Callithrix jacchus: one gene and its partners. The protein of the gene in region 3 interacts with the protein of the main gene of each other region in a biochemical or structural test. Links are inferred from orthologs where the notes say so. Each region holds a gene or a part of one and is shown on either strand. Other genes may lie near its edges.

The links. The genes of interacting proteins can lie anywhere in the genome.
Region 1: the proteins of SNTA1 (region 3) and ADRA1D interact in a test that uses a peptide from one of them, tested with the Homo sapiens proteins (2 studies listed by BioGRID and IntAct). The link is inferred for Callithrix jacchus from reciprocal best matches to the Homo sapiens genes SNTA1 and ADRA1D.
Region 2: the proteins of SNTA1 (region 3) and CYSLTR2 interact in a test that uses a peptide from one of them, tested with the Homo sapiens proteins (2 studies listed by IntAct, with this or other methods). The link is inferred for Callithrix jacchus from reciprocal best matches to the Homo sapiens genes SNTA1 and CYSLTR2.
Region 4: the proteins of SNTA1 (region 3) and DMD form a complex in vitro, tested with the Homo sapiens proteins (2 studies listed by BioGRID, with this or other methods). The link is inferred for Callithrix jacchus from reciprocal best matches to the Homo sapiens genes SNTA1 and DMD.

What each region holds. Positions count from the first base shown.
Region 1 is NC_133506.1:11,729,219-11,734,090, reverse strand, and holds the end of ADRA1D (alpha-1D adrenergic receptor), read left to right. Parts: intron 1-1,531; coding exon 1,532-2,133; 3' UTR 2,134-3,036; downstream 3,037-4,872. UniProt on the Homo sapiens protein: This alpha-adrenergic receptor mediates its effect through the influx of extracellular calcium.
Region 2 is NC_133502.1:67,254,037-67,259,996, forward strand, and holds the end of CYSLTR2 (cysteinyl leukotriene receptor 2), read right to left. Parts: intron 4,315-5,960; coding exon 3,270-4,314; 3' UTR 851-3,269; downstream 1-850. UniProt on the Homo sapiens protein: Receptor for cysteinyl leukotrienes. The response is mediated via a G-protein that activates a phosphatidylinositol-calcium second messenger system.
Region 3 is NC_133506.1:5,876,953-5,883,617, reverse strand, and holds the start of SNTA1 (alpha-1-syntrophin), read right to left. Parts: upstream 4,081-6,665; 5' UTR 3,952-4,080; coding exon 3,642-3,951; intron 1-3,641. UniProt on the Homo sapiens protein: Adapter protein that binds to and probably organizes the subcellular localization of a variety of membrane proteins. May link various receptors to the actin cytoskeleton and the extracellular matrix via the dystrophin glycoprotein complex.
Region 4 is NC_133524.1:33,238,181-33,244,140, forward strand, and holds part of DMD (dystrophin), read right to left. Parts: intron 4,635-5,960; coding exon 4,455-4,634; intron 3,916-4,454; coding exon 3,787-3,915; intron 2,183-3,786; coding exon 2,012-2,182; intron 1-2,011. UniProt on the Homo sapiens protein: Anchors the extracellular matrix to the cytoskeleton via F-actin. Ligand for dystroglycan.

The sequences.
Region 1 (4,872 bases), about 5.9 Mb from region 3:
CAAAGTCATGCTTTCAAAAGCATGAAACAAAATACAAAAGATTACAAATGAAACAGATTTTATTGAAAAAGCCATCAAAATATTTTTACAGGAAATGTGTGACTTAGTAATGAATGTGCTTCTGCATTAAGGTGTCACATACCAAGATCGTTCAATTGTTCTGGACCATTTGTTGAAAAGACTCCCTTATCTCTATTGAATTATCTTTGTACCTTTATCAAAAATAAATTGACTCTGTGGGTCTAAAAACAAATAACAAGATCTAGTGGTGCATCCTAATGACTGTCGTTTCCCAAAAATGAAGAGCATGGAGACTATTTCAAAACATCTGCAACAACGGAAAGTCACAGGAAAATATCTATGGGGACTGCTAACATTAGTTTGAATTACATGATCAATTAAAGAAAAAAAAACTTTAAAAAAATATACATTACTTTTATTTAGAAGTCTTAATGAGGACTACAGACTAAGCCCTGTAGGCCAGCCCTTCAGAGAGCTTGTCTCAGACTGCTCCTGCACAGTATTTTAATCTGCCGTTTATAAGTAGTGGGGGTTCCATTTATATTAAACTTGCTAGAAGTTCTATTAAAGCAGAATTATATTGAGTTTTGGGTGTAAGAGTATATTTGTTCATAGCAGCATAATTACTAACCTGTTCAGATGTTATCTTATGTGCAGGAAGAGGCAAGGACTAGTGTCATTTATCATTTCAGGAATATAGTGACTCAGACAAGAGATGTGGCAGGGAGGTCGGGGCATAAGTTCTATCCATTTTATCTTGAAAGCATCTTTCCAGAGAGCTGTACTTTGTCACAGAGTCAGGGACTTTGGGAAATTATGCTGGCGCACAGAAATGAGCAAACAGACCGGGCACAGTGGCTCACAGCTATAATCCCAGCGCTTTGGGAGGCCGAGGTGGGCAGATCACAAGGTCGGCAGTTCGAGACCAGCCTGGCCAACAGGGAGAAACTTCGTCTCTACTGAAAATACAAAAATTAGCCAAGCGTAATGGCAGGAGCCTGTAGTCCCAGCTACTCGGGAGGCTTACGCAGGAGTATTGCTTGAACCCGGGAGGCAGGAGTTGCAATGAGCCGAGATTGCCCCACCGCTCTCCAGCCTTGGCAGCCGTGTGAAACAAAAAAAAAAAAAAAAGAAGAAAGAAAAGAAAAGAATTGAGCAAACATGACTTATGTTTGCTACTTTGTGTCATAATAGGAAACCGCCAATATTGCACCAGTTTTGCGCTGCAAAAACAGCAATTGCACGCGGTTTTGTCTAACTCTACTCTGGTTTGTTGCCTATACTCATTGAAGGAAATCCTCAATATGAGGTAGAGGTGAGCGAAAACAATTATTATTTTTCCCTATCCAAGTTCATAGACCTCCTGATTTACAGCACGGATCCCTTGAGAACTCCCAGTCAGTGACTTAGCCAAGGATACTCAGCCAAAGTATCTCCCCTTTGTGCCCAGGGCCTGCCTGGCCTCCCCCTACCCAAGCAGCTAACCAGTGTCGGCCTCTGCCTCCTACAGGCTCCCTGTTCCCGCAGCTGAAGCCATCGGAGGGCGTCTTTAAGGTCATCTTCTGGCTCGGTTACTTCAACAGCTGTGTGAACCCGCTCATCTACCCCTGTTCCAGCCGCGAGTTCAAGCGCGCCTTCCTCCGCCTCCTGCGCTGCCAATGCCGTCGTCGCCGGCGCCGCCGCCCCCTCTGGCGAGTCTACGGCCACCACTGGCGGGCCTCCACCAGCGGCCTGCGCCAGGATTGCGCCCCGAGCTCGGGCGCCGCGCCCCCCGGAGCGCCGCTGGCCCTCACCGCGCTCCCCGACCCCGACCTCCCAGGCATGCCCGAGATGCAGGCTCCGGTCGCCAGCCGTCGAAAGCCACCCAGCGCCTTCCGCGAGTGGAGGCTGCTGGGGCCGCTCCGGAAACCCACCACCCAGCTGCGCGCCAAAGTCTCCAGCCTGTCGCACAGGATCCGCATCGGGGGCGCGCAGCGCGCAGAGGCAGCGTGCGCCCAACGCTCAGAGGTGGAGGCCGTGTCCCTAGGCGTCCCCCACGATGTGACCGAGGGCGCCACCTGCCAGGCCTACGAATTGGCCGACTACAGCAACCTACGGGAGACTGATATTTAAGGACCCCAGAACTAGGCCGCAGTGTGCTGGGCTTGGGAGTAAGGGGGACTAGAGAGGGAGGCTGGCTTTGTTCAAGAGGCGTCATGCAAATCAGAGACCCGACACCTGATCGGGGTAGCGCTCTGCGGCCTCCCTGAGGAACTGGGCGGAGCTTGAGGCTGGAACCCTTGAAAGGTGAAGAGTAATGGGGCCCCCTGGTGGACTCAGGTGCCCAGAGCTCTTCTCTTAAAAGGGAGGGGCTGCGGGCTCCGTGAGGCCATTTGCTCCCAATCCGTATTTGAGAAGCACTGCCCCATCCCCCATGCCCTGAACCCTGAGTAAACAGCCCCAAGCATGGCCAGGAAGGCCTGCCTCTCCTCTTCTGGGGAACTGGCACAGAAGCTTTGTGGCCAGTTGCCCCAGTGCCTCCCTTAGGGAAAAAGTCAGTGGGGCCAAGGCTCCTCAATGGACAGATTTCTCATTCTTACTGCCGACTGGAGGAACCCAGTAGACCTACCACCGCCGCCCACAAGCTTTGGTGGCAGATTGTATGGCCGTCATGCAAGTCTGTTGTATTTATCCATGGGCCCTCTGTCCACCACCCAGGCTCCTCCGTGCACCCCCATCATCTGGCCCTGCCCCTCATTACTTCCCCTCAAGGGCCTTACTGTTTACACTCTGTACATAGCTCATTGTGCCTGTGCCCATCACTTCTTGCTGGGATTCCGAGCCACCAATTGGAGAGCTTTATTTGTCGTTTTGAAACATATTTATTGGTAAGAGTACTTCTATTTTGTCCACACTGTGTAAACTGTCCCTCTTTAGCCCATAACCCGTAAAATCTACTTTTTTCCCCTAAAGTCTTTCAAGAACTAAAGGCCCACAACAGAATAGATTGGATCTACATTTGCCTTTCTGGTTAACTTAACTGATTCTTTAACTGATGGCTGCTGGGACTTTTAGCATAACCAAAGGACTTGGGGGTTTGTTGGGTTTTAAAACTCAGATGATCAGTCTTGTGAACCAAACAGTAATCCTAAGCACAAATACTCCCTTTGTCAGTCTCCCCAGATGCTTATGTGATGTTCTGAGGGCCTCAGTGAGGAAGGCAGCCATCAGGTAAATGGGTAAAACATAACTTTACATGAGAAAAGATATACAAGGCCGAGTAAGTAGGCGTACATGGCTAGTAAAAGAACCCATACCTAGGAACCATATTTATTAGCTTTGAGTATGTCATATTCCCATTTGTTGTATTCCCATGAGATTGCAGGCATTTTAGCTGGATAGTATCAACCACATATATCCAACCAGCATGGGGGTGACGGCGTGGCCCCATGGACCCTTGGTAGGAAAGTGGGTTAGACAATACACTGGGGTGTCTGGGGGTGCTCTGAACTGGATGACCCAGCTGCTGGGGCCACATAGACCAGTATTTTGAGCCCAAAATTTCCATTCTGTACTAGGTAGGTAGTCTCTCTGAAAGGTCACCAACAATTTCAGGCATCTCACCCAAATTTTACAGAGTTAAAAAGGCAGCCAATATCAGGGCTTGGAAGCAGACATTTCACACCATGAATCTGCAGTAGGTTCTCAGCTTCTCAGCTTTCAGGCCTGCCCCCCCGCCCCCCACCCCCGACTATAGGTGCAGGAAGGGAAGTTTATGGCTAGGAGCATGTTGGGTGCTGACAGAATGTTGCATACTCCAAAGAGGCTCCACTTGGCAGCCCATTGGCTGCCCTAAAGCTGGGGACACCAGGGGACAGCCCTCACTGTCTTCTGGCAGAGGTAGGGGACATCTGTCAAATCAGGGGTCAGTAAGGAGGCAGACCCCAAGTGTCAAAGAATTGAACATTGACCTCCAGGACAGGGGTGAGCCACACCTGTTTCAACAGCAGCCTTGGGTTTGTGGGGGGTCTCTAAGCAGAGCAAAAGTTGGTTCTGTTGCCAGAAAGGGGTCCCTATCGAGACCCCAAGAGAGAGTTCTTGAGTCTTGCACAAGAAAGAATTCAAGACAAGTCCATAAAGTGAAGGCAAGTTTATTAAGAAAGTAAAGGAATAGGCCAGGCATGGTGGCTCACACCTGCAATCCCAGCACTTTGGGAGGCCAAAGTGGGTGGATCACCTGAGGTCAGGAGATTGAGACCAGCCTAGCCAACATGGTGAAACACTGCCTCTACTAAAAATACTAAAAATTAGCCGGGCATGGTGGCAGGCACCTGTAATCCCAGCTACTTGGGAGGCTGAGGCAGAAGAATCACTTGAACCCAGGAGGCAGAGATTGCAGTGAGCCAAGATCACGCCATTGCATTCCATCCTGGGCAACTCCATCTCAAAAACAGAAAAAGTAAAGGAATAAAGATGGCTACTCCATAGGCAGAACAGCAGCGTGTGCTGCTCAGCTGCTTGTACTTATTGTTACTTCTTGATTATAGGCTAAACAAGTGGTGGACTATTCCTGAGTTTTCCAAATAGTCCAGGAAAGGGGTGGGTAATTCCCAGAACTGATGGTTTCTCCCCTTTACAGACCACATAGGGTAACTTCCTGGCATTGCAATAGCATTTATAAGCTGTCATGGTGCTGGTGGGAGTGTATTTAAACATGCTAATGCATTATAATTAGCACGTAAGAAGTGGTGAGGACAATCCGAGGTCACTTTCTTGGCCATCTTGGTTTTGGTGAGTTTTGATCAGATTCTCTCCTGCAGTCTGTTTTATCAGCAAGGTCTTTATGACTTGTATTTTTGTGGACCTCCTGTC
Region 2 (5,960 bases), on a different chromosome or scaffold from region 3:
TATTCATCATTTTCCAGCTTTATTTATTATGCATTTTCTGTGATGGAAGATGGCAACTTAGGTTTCTTATGCCTCTCTCACACACGTGCGTATCTTCTCCCTTTATTTTCTGAAAAAAGGTTATATCACAGTATTTCACTCTAGCAGCCCAGCCCACCCCACTTATCTGTGGGAGATGCATTTCAAGACCCCCAGTGGATTCCTGAAACCATGAATAGTACCAAACTCGATTGCTGTCAATTGGAAAACATTACTGTTCATGTCTTCCACCCATAAATGTAATACCTTTTCATCTTAACTAAGCATTTATCACCCACTGTGAAGTGTGATAAATACTTTTTGCAGCTTGAGGTGCAACAGCAAAACTAGCACAAATTTATTTTGCCTTCTTCACAATTTTACAGATAGATTTGTTCTTACTGTGGATCTTAGCAACCTCAGCATTTTTTTTTTCTTTCCTTATTAAGTCAAGAACTTTCACCTTTTCTCTTAGAGGAAGCACTTTACAGCTTGTCTTTGGTGTATCTTATTTGCTAGCATCATTACTCTTATGCTTTGGGGTCATTAAGTAAAATAAGAGTGAGTTTAACACAAGCACTATTACATCACAATAGTTGGTTTGATCAACTGGATGATGATTCAGTGACTCATGGGTAGGTAGCATATATATTGTGGATCCACTGGAGAAATCTCACACCATCCCACTTTTCCCTGCCCAGAACGTGAGTAGAGTGAGATAGTGTGAGACTTCAACACGTTACTCAGAATAGCACGTGTTTTAAAACTTAAGACTTGTTCTTGACAGACTCTTGGCTAATAGGAAAAAACAAACAAACAAACAAACAAACAAAAACTTAAGACATGTTTATTTATGGAATTTTCCATTTAATATTTTCAACTGTTTGACCATGAGTAACTGAAGAAAGCAAAATCACAGATAATGGGAGACTATTATAGTCACATTATTTGCTATGTATATATTATTCACAGCTGAGCCATGTAGTGTACTATGGTTATATTTCCTAACACAAAAATTTCTTTTCCACTAGCATTTAATAACTGTATTTTGTTTTCACTTACTTGTTTTTCTATGTATTTGTCACTACTTTATCTAAATCTTCCAAAAGAAATATAAATTCCTCTCAATGTGTATAAATCAATTAATTTCTTCTTTTTCTGGGAGACATCCATATTAGAGCCCTTTAAGAATTCTGCTCCAACATGAATGAGTTGCTTTCTGAGCCTGCCACACACCAACATCCTGGGAATTCCCTTCACCTTTCTCCTGTGTTGGATTCCTTGTTTCCTAGCTACTGTGTTTTCCTCTATCTTGGTTTAATCTCTTATTTTGGATGAATACATTCTCCACTAGCTTTCTGATAAAAGTGTAAGGGTGATGAAAATGCTGAGACCTTTTATACGAAAAGGTCTCTATTAACTCTCACATTTGTTGGTGCTTTCCATGTTAGGGCCTTTTCCTCAAAAGTATTGTGGTCATTGACTGTTGCTCATAATTATGAGGCTCTGACCGGTTGACCAAATGCTGTGAGTAGAATGGATTTGTTGCACTGTGGGCTTCATTGTCAGGTGAGTAATAGGGCAGACACCCAGCTTTTGTGTTGAAGGATCCCCAGCTACCTGTATCAATCAGCCTTTTTCTCAGATTATGCAGTTTTCCATAGGAGGATCCTCCACAGGGTCCTGTCTTGACAGGGTTTGAGTCTGTCTGTCATCATTCTGGTAGCTAAATAAGGGAAGGGTACTGGGATTTGTGTTTAGTAGGAAGAATGATTTAGTCCCTCCCAACCTTCAGGCTGCCATGTCACCTCCACCCTTTACTGTACCAGAAGTCAACAACTCTATGGAGAAAACCTTGGTTTTCTTGTGAAAGTGAGGAGGGGGAGGAAGCTGGTAGGAGAGGAGAGCTTTTATTCAGACTTTCAATCTTCCTGGAAGTTGACAAGGGTAGCAGTGGGGAGAGCACCCAGCCAATACTTCTGCACAGAGAACTCTTACTAGCTGTGTAAACTTAAACAAGTTTCTTAATTTTTCTGAGCTTCAATTTCTTCAGCTGTAAAATGGAAACTCAGAGCTTTATATGTGCATGTCAAATGGGATTAATGAATGCAAAGCGCCTGGCATAATCTGCCTAGCAGGGGCAGTGTACTCAATTGTTGGCAGTACAACAGTCATGGTGGTAGTAGTTGGTAGTATCCTTAGCCTTGTTTCAGTGGACAGAAAGGAATCTCTCAAACTATCTAGCATTTTCCTACTCTCTCAAGAGGGAAGGCAGCATCACCTTACTCATCTTCTGCCAAAATGTTTACAGAATTTCAGGGGTGCAACAACCTTTGCAACTTGCCCTCTACTCCATCGTTCCCTTGTGTGCCCAACCCCAAAGCCCAGAGATAACTCTTTTATTTTTGGCTTCCATCCCAGTGAATTACTGGGAAGAATAGAAGCAAGGTCAACTAACCTACATCTCAAAAAAAATTTTAAGATACGTGACCTTGATGCTCTCCCTCCCATTCTACACACAATTCTTCCATTTCCTAGGGCAGTGCCCCAGATCTTCCTCCTACTTTTCCTGTCCTTCCTAATACCCTGGCAAGAGAGAAACAATAGAAATAGTGTTGTCTTCAGTATGTTAGAACTCCTTTCCCAATGCAAAATGAAATTCTTCCTTCCCCTACTTATCATCAGTTCTCTTTTGCTCTAATCCTTCTCCCCCCTTTTCTCTCACTGTCCTTTCTTGGGACCTTGATGCTGTTTTGTGAAAGGACAGCCTTCTTCTTCACAGTTAGTCTTTCCCTGAATCTTAGGATGTGTTTCCTGTCTGCTTTGGGGCTTCCAGTAGCATTGTTAGTTGGCTATATCTCAGGGGATTGAAGAGGGCAGGGGAGCTATAGAAGCTGGGGAAGTTGTGGATGTTTTGAAGAATTTAGAAAGCCTGATGGGCCACAGATCTGGTTCAGGATCTGAAGAAAAGTAGGATCCAATGTGCTCTGTATTTTTTCCCAGTCTGATATTTCAGTCCACAGGACTCTAGTAGGAATTTTTCATCCTGTATTCCTCATTAACACTCAACAACTGAAAATACACTGAATAAAATTTTTGAAGTAAGTCTTATTAACAAAAGTTGTGGTCAACTAAATATTAAGAATCAATCAACATTTGTTGGCAATGATGTAAATACAAAGTCATTTGGAAACTATGAGTGAATGAAGATGGACACAAGGATAGAGGAACAGGTCTCATCTAAGTACTCCTTATACTCTTGTTTCCTTTTTCAACCACACACTAACAGGGAAACCACACTTTATCTTTGCCTTCTGTGAATGGCCTTTTTTGAGTGCAGACCTTAGTCTGTCCTTAAAATTCTCTCCAGCAAAGTAATATAGCACAGGATTGAAGCAGCTATTGGCTGCTGCCAAGGCCAGTGTGATGACCAAAGCTTTATGTAGCCTGTCTCTGCATATACCCACTTTCCATGTCACCAAGTGGAGCGTCCTCAGTGTGTGATAGGGCAGGAAACACAAGAAGAAGATGATCAAGGCGAGGACAATGGTGATCAGTGTCTTCCTGTGAGAAACCCGTAGCCCCAATTCTGGGAGCTCCACTTTTAACAGAACTCGAATGATCAGCAGGTAACAGATGCTGAGTATGAAAAATGGGAGCAGAAAGCCCACCACCAAGGCAATATAGTTCATGGTCTGCAGCTTAGTAAGTTTATAGAGATTCAGCTCTAAGCATAATGTAATACTGCCATTCTGCTCAGTGGCACGATCCAGTAGCATTACTGAGGAAGCCATGATAAGGATCCATATGATCCCACACAGGATCCAGGCACTCCTGATGCTGATGATATGGAGAAGCCGAAAGGGGTGAACAGTTGCCAGGAAACGCACAACACTCAGCACAGTCAGGAAATAAATGCTGCTGTACATGTTGACATACAAGGAATAAGACATAATTCTGCAGGCCAGGTCTCCAAATATCCAGTTGGAGCCTCTAAGGTAATAGTCAGCCCTGAAGGGAAGCGTGCTTATGAACAGGAGATCTGAAATAGCCAGATTTAGCATGAAAATGTTAACGGATGTGGACTTCTTATAAGGCTGTAGGAAAACATATATGGACAAGCCATTTCCCAAGACTCCCCAGGCAAATATTATCAGATATACAATTGGGAAAAATTCTCTCTTGAAGTTTTCAATTGTGCAGTTACTGTTGTTGTTGTTATTGCTGAAGGTGGCATTTGGTTCCATTTCTGATAAGGAGATGGATGGATGTAAGGACATAAATGTTCTCTCCATCCTGGGTTAAAAAGAAACAGACACAAAAAGTTACTTTGTGAATTTCCCTTTTTCCTTCTTGCTTACTGATTATATCGCTCTAGGTTTTAATAAAACAGGGAGCAATACCATCTTTTCTTTGAAAGTTGAGTTTTAAAATATTGGTTAAGTCTTTACTATATGCTGCATTATATTTCATAATAAATTTACATTTTCTGATTTATAGAATGTAGAATAGCCATTAATTTGTTTGGCAGAAGTTGAAGCTTCAAACTTAGGGAACTTATGACCTAGTGCCCATGTTGACATGAATACCTCCCTGTGAACCTAAAACCGCTGAATAGTAGATTTCTCATCAGAAGCTGTGGAGCACAGAAGAAAATGGCACATTTCTCGAATGCTGAAAGAAAAGACCTGCCAACCTAGCATTCTATATCCAGCAAAAATATCTTTCAAGTACAAGGAGAAAATCAAGATTTTTTCAGATGATGGAAAACTAAGACTCTGTTGCCAGTAAACCTATCTTAAAAGAATGACTAGGCCAGGTGCAGTAGCTCATGCCTGTAATCCCAGCACTTTGGGAGGCTGAGGCAAGTGGATCACTTGAGGTCAGGAGTTCAAGACCAGTCTGGCCAACATGGTGAAGCCCATCTCTACTAAAAATATAAAAATTAGCTGGGTATGGTGGCAGGCACCTGTGATCTTAGCTACTCAGAAGGCTAAGGCAGGAGAATTGCTTGAACCTGAGGTAGAGGTTGCAATGAGCTGAGATTGTGCAATTGCACTCCAGCTTGAACAACAAGAGTGAAACTCCCTCTCAAAAGAAAAAAAGGAAGTTCTCTAAACAGAAAGGAATTCATAAAAGACGGAACCTTAGAACATTAGAAAATAAGAACATGGTAAGCCAAAATATGGGTAAATACAATAGACTGTCCATCTCTTTTAGAGTCTAGGTTACATTTAGCATTTTGATACAAAAATGTTAATGCTCTCTGAAGTGGTTTTAAATGGATGTAGAGGAATTATTAAGATAACTATATTATAAATGAGGGAAGGTAAAGAGACATAAAAGGAGGTAAGTTTTCTATACTTCACCTGAACTGATAGAATGATGATGTGAATAGATTATTGTAATATATATATATATGGAGAGAGAGAGAGAGAGAGGAGAGAGAGAGAGAAATACCTAGAGCATCCACTAAAATAATATACAAAGGGATATACTCAAAAACATTACAGATAAATACAAACAGAATTCAAAAAGTGTTCAGATAACCAACAGCAAGGCAGGAAATAGAAAACATAATAAAAACAGAAAACAAAAAATAAATTGCAGTCATCCCTGATTCATCAATAATTACATTAAATATAAGCAGTCTAAATATACCAATTAAAAGATAGAGGATTGAAATATATTTTTTAAATGACCCTATTATGTACTGCCTATAACAAATACTTCAAATAGCAGTATTGGCTGCTTGAAAGTAAAAGGATGAAAAAATGCATGTCATTCAAATCAAAGAAAATTGGGAATGGCTCTTTTAGTATCAAATATAGTGGACTTCAAAGGAAAGGACATTGCCAGAGACAGTGAGAGACACTATATAATAACAATGGGGTTTAACCACTATGAAGACATATCAATTCTAAATGGGTATGCACCAAGCA
Region 3 (6,665 bases):
CAGCTAGGCATGGTGGCACATGTGTGTAATCCCAGCTACTCAGGAGGCTGAGGCAGCAGAATCCCTTGAATCCAGGAGGTGGAGTTTGCAGTGAGCCAAGATCACACCACTGCACTCCAGCCTGGGCAACAAGAGTGAAACTCCATCTCAAAACAATAAATAAATAAAAACAAAAAATTTGCTGGGCATGGGGGCACATGCCTGTAATCCCAGCTACTCGGGAGACTGAGGCAGCAGAATCCCTTGAACCCAGGAGGTAGAGTTTGCAGTGAGCCAAGATTACACCACTGCACTCCAGCCTGGGCAACAAAGCAACACTCCTTCTCAAAATAAAATAAAAATACAAACATTAGCCAGGCATGATGGTGTATGCCTGTAATCCCAGCTATGTGGGAAGCTAAGGCACGAGAACTGCTTGAACCCAGGAGGTAGAGGCTGCAGTGAGCCGAGATTGCGTTACTGCACTCCAGCCTGGGCGACAGAGTGGGCAGACTCCATCTGAAAAAAAAAGAAAGAAAAAGAAAAAGAAAATTCCAAAAAAAATTTGGCTTTGAAGCAGCAATGTGGGGGCCTGGTACAGTGGTTCATGCCTGTAATCCCAGAACTTTGGGAGGCTGAGGTAACCAGATCACTTGAGGTCGGGAGTTTGAGACCAGCCTGGCCAACATGGTGAATCCCTGTCTCTATTAAAAATACAAAAAGTAACCAGGTGTGATGGCACACTCCTGTTATCCCAGCTACTCAGGAGGCTGAGACATGAGAACCTCTTGAACCCAGGCAGTGGAGGTTGCAGTGAGCCGAGATCATGCCACTGTACTCCAGCCTAGGCAACAGAGCAAAACTCTGTCTCATAAAAAAAAAAAAAAGCAGCAATGTGGGAATCCACTGATACCCCTCAAACTGGAATCAAGATAGCAGTCAGCTATTCCTATGGCCTCAAAAGACTGCTTTAGCAATCATAATGTTTTACAACCCAAGGTCCAGGCTGGAAACCAAAGCCTTAAAGTCTAGAGATTCTAAAAGCCTGTCTGAATTACATATCGGATACAAAAGAAGCTAATACATTTTACTAAACCGCTTTATTACTTAACTGTGAAAGCCCTTTAAAAATAAGAAATAGTAATAACAGTTCACCTTCACCTTAGTTGCACGTATCAAATGCCAAGCACTGTGCTGAATGCGTTCAATGTTGTTTCATTGCGTCTTTACAATACCCCATCTCATAGGCATGCTCAGTTTCCTATTAGGAAAACTGAAGTGTGGAGGGAAGCCCCTTGTCCAAGGTCACTCAGCTGGTAAGTAGCGAAGCCCGTATTTGCACCTAGGCCTCCAGGCTCCAGAACCAACACTATTCACCCTACGATAGATGGCACGTCAGGCCCTCAAATATCACACTCCTGGCTCATTCCCAGAATACTGAAGATGAGGAATTAGTGGCCCAGAATGGGAGGTCATTGTTCCAAGGTGACACAAGCTGGTGGCAGAGCTGGGATTGGAACACCTCTCTTGACCCCCACACAGGCCCAACACTTTGCTTATCTGCACAGAGCTTGAAGTCTAGGAGAGAAAGGGGTTTCTATTTATATCTGTCCTCCCCCATCTGAAACTAGGGGTTTCAGTTCGGTTGGAAGCTATGATCACTCATGGCTGCCTCAGACTAAGCTAGACTCTAGAGGATGGGTTACCATGACAACAGGAGCCCAGTCTCCATCCACAAGGATTTGGATCCTATGATAGTACCTGAAGTCTCCCTCCACCTAGAAGTATGCAGCTGGGGGGGAACTTTGTGTGACTTAGAAAGTCTGCTCCTCTCTGAGTCTCAGTGTGTCCATCTGTAGAATGGAACTCTATATGAATAAGTTCAGGCCAGGCGCAGTGGCTCACGCCTGTAATCCCAGCACTTTGGGAGGCAGAGGCAGGCGGATCATCAGGTCAGGAATTCGAGACCAGCCTGGCCAATATAGTGAAACCTCCCTCTCTACTAAAAAAAAAAAAAAAATTAGCCAGGCATGTTGGTGGGCACCTGTAATCCCAGCTACTTGGTAGGCTGAGGTAGGAGAATTGCTTGAACCTGGGAGGCAGAGGTTGCAGTGAGCCAAGATTATGGCATTGCACTCCAGCCCAGGTAACAGTGTGAGTCTCCATCTCAAAAATATTAATAATAAATAAACAACCTGCTGTGACACACTGAGTATATAATTTTTGGATTGGTCTGTTGTCCCATCCCATGCTGGAGACTGGGGGTAAGACTGGTGCCCATATGCTCGTTTTCCCATTTCCCCTTTTTAGGTCCTCTTGGCTGCCTGGGGATCTGCCATTCTGCAGGAAAGAATCAACTTCCCTGAGCACTCTCTAGGGGACAGTAGCTGATAATTAAGGTTCAAATCCCAGGGCTGACACCCACTGTGTAATCGTGGAAAATCATTTTACTTTTCTGAGTCTCAGTTTCTTCACCTGTGATGTGGGGATTATATTCCCTATCTTTCACCACTTGTTGCCAGGATAAAATGGATCATGAAACTAGTGTCCTGGGCACCACACATGGCACGCAGTGGTGGCATTCACTACCATCCTCACTGCCTCAGCCAAGCCAAAGGGTCTGGAGGCACTAGTGAACAGAATCAGTACTGGGGAGACCTGGGTGGGGACAGTTCATATTCAAGGTGCAGAAAAAGGCTGACACCCTTTCCCAAAGCACCCTGCTGGAGGCTGGAACCCTGAGAAACAGATAGGCAGGAATAGTGAGCCCAGCAGCTGGGGTTGTGCAAGGATTTTAAGCACTATGTTTAGTAGCTTTGGGAGTATCTCCTGGACTCCAATATTCCTCTCCGCTAACAGCAGTAATTAACTAGGCACCTACAATGTGCTGGTGTGGTGAGCCCTGCTCTCAGAAGTCACAACTCTATCATCCTCTTATACAGTTGAGGAAACTAAGATTCAGAGATGGGATGGGATTTGCGCAGGCTCACACAGCTGGTCCTGGACTCAAACGCAGTCTGTTTGCACTCTACCTGCACCCTACTAGTGGTCAGTCTTGGGGGCTGAAAGCTCTCTCTATCCTGTGCAAGGTGACTCAGACCAGGAGACTCAAATCCAGCTGTCGGGGCTCCCCATAGCCTTCCTGGGTCCTTCGATTCCTAAGGCCTTGCTGGCCTTCTCTCTGTGACCCCAGCCTGTGCCTGCACCCAGGCCTCCTATCCACCCCTGTGCTTCCCAGACTCCAGGCCTCCGCCCTGCGCCCAACTTGGTTGCTTCTCAGGGACTCCCTGCTCCCTGCTCCACCGGTGTCCCAGCCTCAACTCCCTTTCTCCACTCTCTGCTTTTTGGGGGACCCCTCTTGTCCTTGATGTTCATGCTGGTTGCCACTCAGACCCCCACGCCTCCACACACAACTCCCCACCCACGTGTCCTTGGTGCTCCCACAATATCCTCCACACCAGTAGCTACCGTGCCCCCTAAGGTCACCAACTACAGAAACCCCCTCCGACCTTGGTGCGCCCAGTGCCCTCTGTTACCTGTTTCCTCAGAATCCCCTTACCCCCAGACAGAAGGCCTCCATGTCCTGGGCGCGCTGCCAGCCCCCTGTGCCCTCAGCGGTCCCCAGACACCGCGACCCCGTACCCTTGGTGTCCCGCGCCCACCTTTGATGCTGATGCCCAGCCCACCGGCATCGGCCTTGCGCACCGTCACGCGGCGCCGCTGGAGCAGTAGCGCCTCAGGCAGCTGCGGGGGCCCGGCGCCTGGCTCCGCGGCGCCGTTCAGCTGCGCGGGCTCCGGCTCCCGCGGAGCGCCGGGATCGGGGCCAGGGTCGCCGTCGGCGGAGCTCACGGTCAGCACGTCCTCCGCCAGACTCAGCAGCACTCGCTGCCACCGCTCGCCGCCGGCCCCCGAGCCCGCCCCGGCGCGCAGCTCCAGCAGCCCGGTACGCGGGGCGCGCCTGCCGGACGCCATCTTCGCCTCCGAGACCCCGGACCTCCGTGCTCGCCCTGTCCCGCCGTGCCCTGCCCGTTCCTACCAAGCACCCGGGGCAGAGGGCAGCGGGGGCCCGGCTGGGCCAGCCGCCACCCTACCCTGGCCGCTGGGGGAGGAGCTCTGGGGGCGGGGCTACCAGGGGTGTGGCCAGCGCTTAGGGCGGGGCCTCGGGCAGGAGCAGGAGGCCGGGGCGGGGCACGGGAGCCGAGGGCCTCCGAGTGGAACTACCTAGGTTGCGGCTTAGAAGGAGCGGGGCGGGGCCACGAAGTAAGGCGAGACGCCTGGGAGGCGTGGTGCTGGGCGGGGAGTCAGGGGGCGGGGCTTCTCTTCGGGGGAGTAACCCAGTGATCCAGCTCAGGGGTCTCTGTGCTAGGAATGTCCGTCGAGGGCCGAGACTGTAGCTCGCGGACGTGGGAGCGCATGAAAAAGAGACAGAACCACGTATCCTGGTGCGAAGCATTGGGCGTCGTGCTGCGTATGGCGGAGCTCTGGACTCCAGGGCTTGAGTTTAATAGGTAGACATCGGCCGGGCGCGATGGCTCACGCCTGTAATCCCAACAGTTTGGGAAGCCTAGATGACAGCCCAGAAGCTTGAGACTGCAGTGAACCGCGATCATGCCACTGCACTCCAGCCTGGGTGACAGAGCGAAACCCTGTGTCAAAAACAAACAACAAAAAAGGTAGATACTGAGCCGCGAGAGACTACAGGCAGAGTTTTAGTTGGAGAGCGGAGGAAGAAGCTGGTTTCGCATCGGGGTAACCGAGGCTTTGGTCTGTGGGCGTGGCTTATAGTGGGCGTGGCTTCAGATGTAACGGGCCCCGCCCCCGGAGGAGAGAGCTGCCGGCTCCGCTTAGGGCTTAGGCAGGATCCCCACTTCAAAACTGGAGGGAAATTTAAGAGATTAATCCCTGGCTCTGTTAACAGTCGAGGATAGAAAAACCTGAAGTCCCACACTTTGAGGCCTGGCAGAAAAATCTCGAACTCCTAGTGTGTGGGAAGAGGACTGCAAGGTGGGGCTCTGGGTCTGGGCGTCTGGAGACCTGGTTTCTAATCCTTGCTCTGTTAGCTCCAAGTCGACCTTGGTCCCTTCACATCACTGCTCTAGGCCCCAATTTCCTCATCCATAAAATGTGGCTCATAATAATATCTACTTCACAGGGCTGGTGTGAGGATTAAATCAATGTGAAGACACGTGGTAAACTGTGAATCCCTATGCTATAGAAATAATCACTTTCGGCGGGAAAAGTGGCTCAACCCTGTAATCCCAGAACTTTGGGAGGCCGAGGCAGGCAGATCACCTGAGGTCGGGTGTAGGGTCCAGCCCTACTAGGGTCCTGGAGTGTCCCCTATCACTGTGCTGAAGCACTGGATCCAAGAAATAAGGAGACAGGACACCAAAGGACTGGATAAAGACAGCTGGGCTCCGGGGGCCAACGCCACTTACAAGTGGAGACAGGCGATGCCCTGAGCGTCCAGGCACATCTGTATTCGTTAGGTATAGGTTAGGGGGAAGGGTAGTGAGTGAGGTCATCTTAAGGATAGTGATAGGGTCAAGACAATCACGTGTGCAATAAGCAAAGAGTCCACCCCCATTAGGTAGCCGAGACAGGAGGTGGTCAATGTGCAGCAAGGGGTCCACCCCTAAGGGGGTGGACAGTGCACAGTAAGGAGGGTGCAGTGTGCAGCATCTCTTATCTAGGGGCAGGCTACTTCTAAGAATTCCTATAGGAGGATGCTCTGAGTCAGCATAATAGCAACAGAGCTGACAGAGTATACAGCCACCTGCAGGCTGCTACTAACGATTTCTATAGGAGGTTGCTTTGAGTCAGCACAATAGCGAGAGAGCTGACAGGGTGTATAGCCACCTAGGCTCGATTATACCAGAGGTGTTTTAAGCCCTCAGAGTACACAGGATTGCCAGCCTTAGGCCAGCTTTCCAAAAGAACTGGACACAAGATACTACAACTCCCTTTCAGGAGTGACTCTTGCTCCAAGTCTGCCATGCAGCGGGTATCTTTACGATACTGAACGCTGCCTGCCATGTAGTGCATACCCTTTAAGGCAGGGGCACTACCACCTGGGTCATTGATTCTTATCCTGGTGTGGCTGTTTTTGGATATGTTGGGCAATAAATAGAACCACACCAGTGTTTAGACTCCCTGAACTTTTGGGTAAAATCCTCTTCATAAGATACAATCAAAAAAAAAAGAAAAGAAAAAGAAAAAACTCAGGGCCAGGCACAGTGGCTCACGCCTGTAATCCCAACACTTTAGGAGGCCGAGGTGGGTGGATCACCTCAGGTCAGGAGTTCTAGGCTAGCATGGCCAATGTAGCGAAACCCTGTCTCTACTAAAAATACCAAAAAATTAGCCAGGCGTGATGGCAGGCACCTGTAATCCCAGCTACTCATGAAGCTGAGGCAGGAGAATTGCTTGAACCTGGGAGGCGGAGGTTGCAGTGAGCAGAGTTCACACCACTGCACTCTAGCCTAGGCGATAGGTCAAGACTCTGTCAAAAAAAAAAAGGGGGGATTTTACTTGCTGTTTTTTGAGATGGAGTCTCACTCTATCACCCAGGCTGGAATGCAGTGCCTTGATCTCGGTTCAGTGCAATCTCCGCCTCCCGGGTTCAAGCGATTCTCCTGCCTCAGCCTCCGGAGTAGCTGGGACTACAGGCACGCACCACCACGCCC
Region 4 (5,960 bases), on a different chromosome or scaffold from region 3:
AGTATTCTTAATTCATGCAGAATGTGAAATGAAAACTCACAAACTTGTCTTGGTCACAAACGTGTATTGGCTAGGTCTGTCAGGTCTGTGGTGGAGAGTAAATTCTACCCATTTTTTAATATCTCTGAATCACAATCATAACACAATTTATCCTAAAATAATACTAATTTTCTCTTAAATATTCTATAGCTTAGTGATTTATTAAAATGTGCATGTGTCTATCTATATCTTAGTAATGAAAGAGTAGCATTTTTAAATTATTGAAATAAACCTTCATAGATTGTTTAGTTATTACATGAGCCATTGATATCTTCAGAAGTAAAACAATTGTCTTTGTGAGTAACAATAAATTCTTTCAAAACTATACTCCGACAAGTTTTAAGAGCCTGTCAGATTTGTTTGCAGGTGATAATGACTGACTTTAACATATATAATTGTGACAGTTAACTCCTTAGTTCTCTTGTATTCTCTCAATCTGTATGTAGACAATATAGCCTTTTAAAGGTCAACTACAAAAGGCTCTATGTATGGAGAGAGTGCAAGCAAACTAAGTAGTTAAATATCAAAAATAACTTGTGGTGAATTAAGGTAAACTAACAACTTTTTAATTTGGGAAGGTGAATTTTGAAGGGTAATTGTGTGTCGTGCACATAAACAACTACTTAGAATTTGTCATGTCACATTTATTTTGAAAACTAATTTAAATATGTACTTTTTTTTTTGCCAATCAGTTTGAGCTTATAAGGTTGCTCAGGTTAGCCTTGAACTCATGACCTCGCCTTCGCAAGCGCCACGACCTCTGGCGGGAGCCACTTTGGACCCCAAATATGTACGATTATATAACATGATGATACACTGTAATGCTTTAGAAAGTATAATAATTGTGAAATCATGGTATTCCTGGTTGCTTATATATATCAAAACAAATTTTGAATATGTTCTTCTATTTTTCCAGAAATCAACACTTACCTGACATATTATTTCATATTTCTCAGAAATACTTTAATGTTTTCTCATTTCTGAATATTTCTAACAATTATCTATATACCTAAATACATATATTGATTTTATGTACATTTTTATATTTAAAAGCATATCATATATATTGAAAATTTATCGAACTACAGTATATAAATTTCTGGGTAATTACTGGCATTCCAAATCTTCCCCAAGAGTTGCAAATCTATAATACTATATTTATACATTTTTGCAGACTACGTATCAAATAAGATGTTGTCTTCATCAAATCATAAACAAATATAAAGTTTATCATGCAAAAGTTCCATATTCCCTGGCTTTTCTTAAACAGTATAAATATAAATAGGCATATAAAATTACAAAAAATTAGAATATATATAAGCTTTGCAATGATTGGTTTTCATGGCTTGAACATTTCATTATAGCCTAAAAAATTTTGTCACAGTATCTGCAACTAGCAAAATAAAGTTAAACACACACTTGCACAATCAGTAAAGAGGTACAAACACCCTAGATCCTGCAGAATATACACAAGGCCTCATTTTGGATATTTGATCTACATTACATACAAGCAACATTGTATCAGTAGTGCTTTTGGCAAAATATATCAGCAGTGCTTTCTTTTGATGGATGACTTGCGTGCTTTTTGGTTTAATTTTTTGGCCTTTAGCATGTTATTTGTTATTGTTCTGTAGGTGACCCCTGAAAGTACATATGTAAACTGCAGTGTAGAATGCAGTTCTAGAATATCTGTTGCAGAAAAAGAAGATGAGAGAGAAAGAGAGATATGAGAGAGACAGAGAGAGACAGAGAGAGAGAGAGAGAGAGAGAGAGAGAGAGAGAGAGAGAGAGAGAGAGGAGATTGATTTATCTCCCATTATAGTCAGTGGTAAAATTTCCTTAAATACAGGTTGGCCTTCATTTTCCTTTTGAAAACCTTGCCGTGGGGTCTACTTGCCCCTTTCAGAGTACTGTGCAACCTTCGCAAGAGATCATTTAGTACTAGTTTCCACCTTGGAGTAGATCTTCCTACCTTTCCAGTCTTAATTCTGTGTGAAATGGCTGCAAATCGATGGTTGAGCTCTGAGATTTGGGGCTCTACTAATTTCCTGCAGTGGTCACCGCGATTTGCCATCAAGTTTGCTGCTTGGTCACGTGTAGAGTCCACCTTTGGGCGTATGTCATTCAGTTCTGCCTTTAAACGCTATATTCCACGAGCAAGAGACAGGACTTGAAGTTAGTAATTAATGAAAGTCAAGATAGAAATAGAGAGCAAAACAGAGAGAGTGCACAAGAAAGAGAGAGAGAAAGAGAGAAAGTAAGAGAGAGTAAGCACATGCAGAAAATAGAAAGGGAGAAAAAAATCACAACGTCCATAAAACAGGAGTAAAATGAAAATGTGTGTGATTTCAGAAATACAGGTCACTGTCCTTAAGTCTAATGCATGTATATTTAAAATGATTAGTCTGAGGAAGGATAGGGATGTTTTCCTATGTTATTGCAACTATCATAATATATTCTATCTAATCTTATTATATCATTACTGAATTTAACAGTTGTGGAATAAGCTAAGTACATGCTCAAGAGTTAAGGTAGCTGAAGAATACTTTTCTATTCCTTCCTGGCACTTTCAAGTTCTTCTTTGTTTATTATATTGAGTGTTGTAAGAAAAAATGTGGTTTTCTAACAGATACGAATTCTGTGTCACATACAGAGGTACTGTGTCACATACAGAGGTACCTGCCGGGTCACAGAAGTTGTAAGTCACTTAACTCAGACCTTAAGTCTTGAAGGAATTTCACTATAAGATGACATCTTTGACTCTATGTCAAGGGACAATGAAGCAGACAATAGAGATCCACATCAAAATAAATTTCAGACAATGGCATAAATGTGTTTTAGGGAAAGTCTGGAATGCATTTATAGTTTTACATTAAATATAGATTGCAATCTGTGGAAAATATCAGAGGCATAAAAAAGAATTGCATAGAAAGAAACATAATTTTTGAGTTTTCTTTAAATTGTAAAAAAACTAATCAATAAAATTATCAAACATTTCAACAAAATAAAATAAAAATATTTATTTAAAAGAGCTGTTACAATTCAGCTCTACCTGTTTGTGAAAGGAGAGATTATCAAATAGAAACAATGTAGCATCAATAACATACATTTACATATTATACCTCTCATACCCTTTTATCAGAATCATTTTTTAAAGAAAATATTAAGTTGCCCTTGAAAAAGAAGACAGGGCATTCTAACAATCAGTTTCAATACTAAAAGAGAGCACCCAAAATGTTGTTTACTTTACATTCAGTAAAAAATGAAAAATTAAAAAAAAAAAAAAAATGAAAAATTCAGTTTTACGTAAGCCCAATATTAGGACTAATTACTAAGATTTAGATATGGCATAGGCAAAACATTCAGATGATGGGATGTCAGGTGGGCTGAATAAATGGTGGCAGGAGACAGTTCTTTGTGCTAGACCCAAGAATGTAGTACTGCCATTAACATAAGCAGAAATTTACAATATGATTTCAAAATAAATCTTGGAATCTCTTTCCGAGCATAGTTTACATTGGGTATAACTAACTGAGTGGTGGATTTGAACAGATATTCAGATTACAGTATTCTTCCAAATTATTAATTACCATTCCAAGGGGGAAGGAAGGAAAAAAGGAAGGACAAAGAAAGGAAGAAAGGATTGCTTTACTCTTATTAGGACAGCCTTAGTATCTTCTGGAACAAAGATCATTGAAAGTAACTGCTGTACAATTTGAACATGACTTTTCATATTTTATTTGCTACCTTAAGCACGTCTTCTTTTTGCTGGGGTTTCTTTTTCTCAGATTCATCCAAAAGTGTATCAGCCTGAATGATCCACTTTGTGATGTGGTCCACATTCTGGTTAAAAGTTTCCATGTGTTTCTGATATTCCTTAATTGTACAGAGATATACCATGACATTATTGGTTAGATTATATACTTAAAGAATTTTACTTATGTTCTAAAATTTTAAAAAGACAATAACAGTTTCATTCAGATTAGTTTTCAGTGGTATTTTCATATAGAATATTGCACAAATATAAAGAAAATATATTAAAATATTGTTATAGATATTGAATTAAGAGCCAGCATATATGTGGAATTGAGAAATTTTCAAACATAAAATTATTATTTTTTTTTCAAGGTAGCAAGAAAAGGACTTTACCAAGAAACTAACATTTACACTTTTTGACAGAACTGAAATACACTGAATTACAGAGCAAATTCACTAAAATAACAAAGAAAATTCTGTCCATATAAAGGCTCTATTTTTTACCCCCAAAAAAGTGTTTCAATTCTGATACTCACACCACACAACTGGTTAAGAAAATAAAGCACAGTGTTTAGCAAACAGAAAATTATTATTGGTCACTTATGTATCTTTTTCTTGTGACTGAGAAAGTTGTAAAATCTTCTAGCTTTCTCTCTTACCAACAAAAGATTTAACCACTCTTCCGCTCGGGAGGTGACAGCTATCCAGTTGCTATTCAGAAGACTGAGTTTATCTTCCACCAGTGTCTCCTTCTTGCCCAGAACTGTTTTCAAGGCCTCTCCTACCTCTGTGATACTCTTCAGGTGCACCTTCTGTTTCTCAATCTCTTTCTGAGTAGCCTGTGAAAAGGATAGCATTGACCTTCAAGTAATACATTGTAGCTTTAAGATGTAATGCTTATGAAATGGCTTTCTGTATGGTTACTAAGATTTTATGAGGTTTTAAACCTATAACTATGTATTTATGAATCATGAAAACCATACCATACACACTGCAGTTTCATTATTGGGTAACTATCAACATATATATATATATATATACACACACACATATATACAGACACATACACATAAGCATAATTCATGTCTTATTTTTCATTACACATTTAATAAACATCTTGTTCGCCTCAATATACTTATATCTACTTAATTTGTATATGTAGTGGATAAAGGCAGACATTTGAAAACGCATCCACAAATAAGAAACTGCCTTTAGAAAATTCTGCAGTATAGTGATACTATATTTGCTGCAGGGACTTTTAGCCTTCTAGTGCCATGGATCTTTTTGGCATCTGTTGAAACTTAAGAAACCTTTCTCATAATAATGTTTTTAAAGGCACAAAATATCCAGGATTTTAAATGAAAACAATTATACTGAAATACAATATGCAAAACATTTTAAAAATACATGTGATGTAGCAATATGTTTATTTATTAACAGGTTAATTAACAAGATCTAGCAGCAGGTCTTTAGGAAAATTTAAATGTAGTGATGAGCATAACTGTTATTTTTAAGTATATAAATCACATGGAACATGTCATAAAATTATCTGTCATTTCTATTATTGACAAAGTTATGGGCACTTCTATTATTGGGGTTTGTTACTCACATCTATAATTGAAAAAAAAAACATGCTTACTTTTGGTTTTAGGTGAATAAATATAAGGATGTATTTTTCCCCCAATTCCTTCACAGACCTTAATTATATCCATATACCCTAGACTAAAATCTTCTACAAGAACATTCTTTCCTAAGAATTGATTTATAAAACATGAAAACAATCACATTTAACATAAAAAATATATGGAGCATTGATGGAAAAAGTGATCCAAGTAAAAATGTTTACTACCTGCCCAGCATAAAGCCCCTTTCCTGGTACATGGCATGGCTGACAATATGGCCACTCTGCACTCCACTGCCTTTGTGCTTGGTTCTTCCCTCGCCAGCCTAGTTAGCCAGCTGTTGGACATCCACAGAGAGCTGAGCCAAAGCCCAACAGACACTTTCTCCTTTCTCAATAAGGTTAACAGATACAGAGACTATGACTGGCACTCGAGCTCAAAAGCTATTTGCGAGTAGAGCTGATGTCTTAATCACAGAAAGCCAAAGCAAAACAAAATCATTGATAAACAGCAATAACAAGGAAGTAGAGGATCCCACCTACA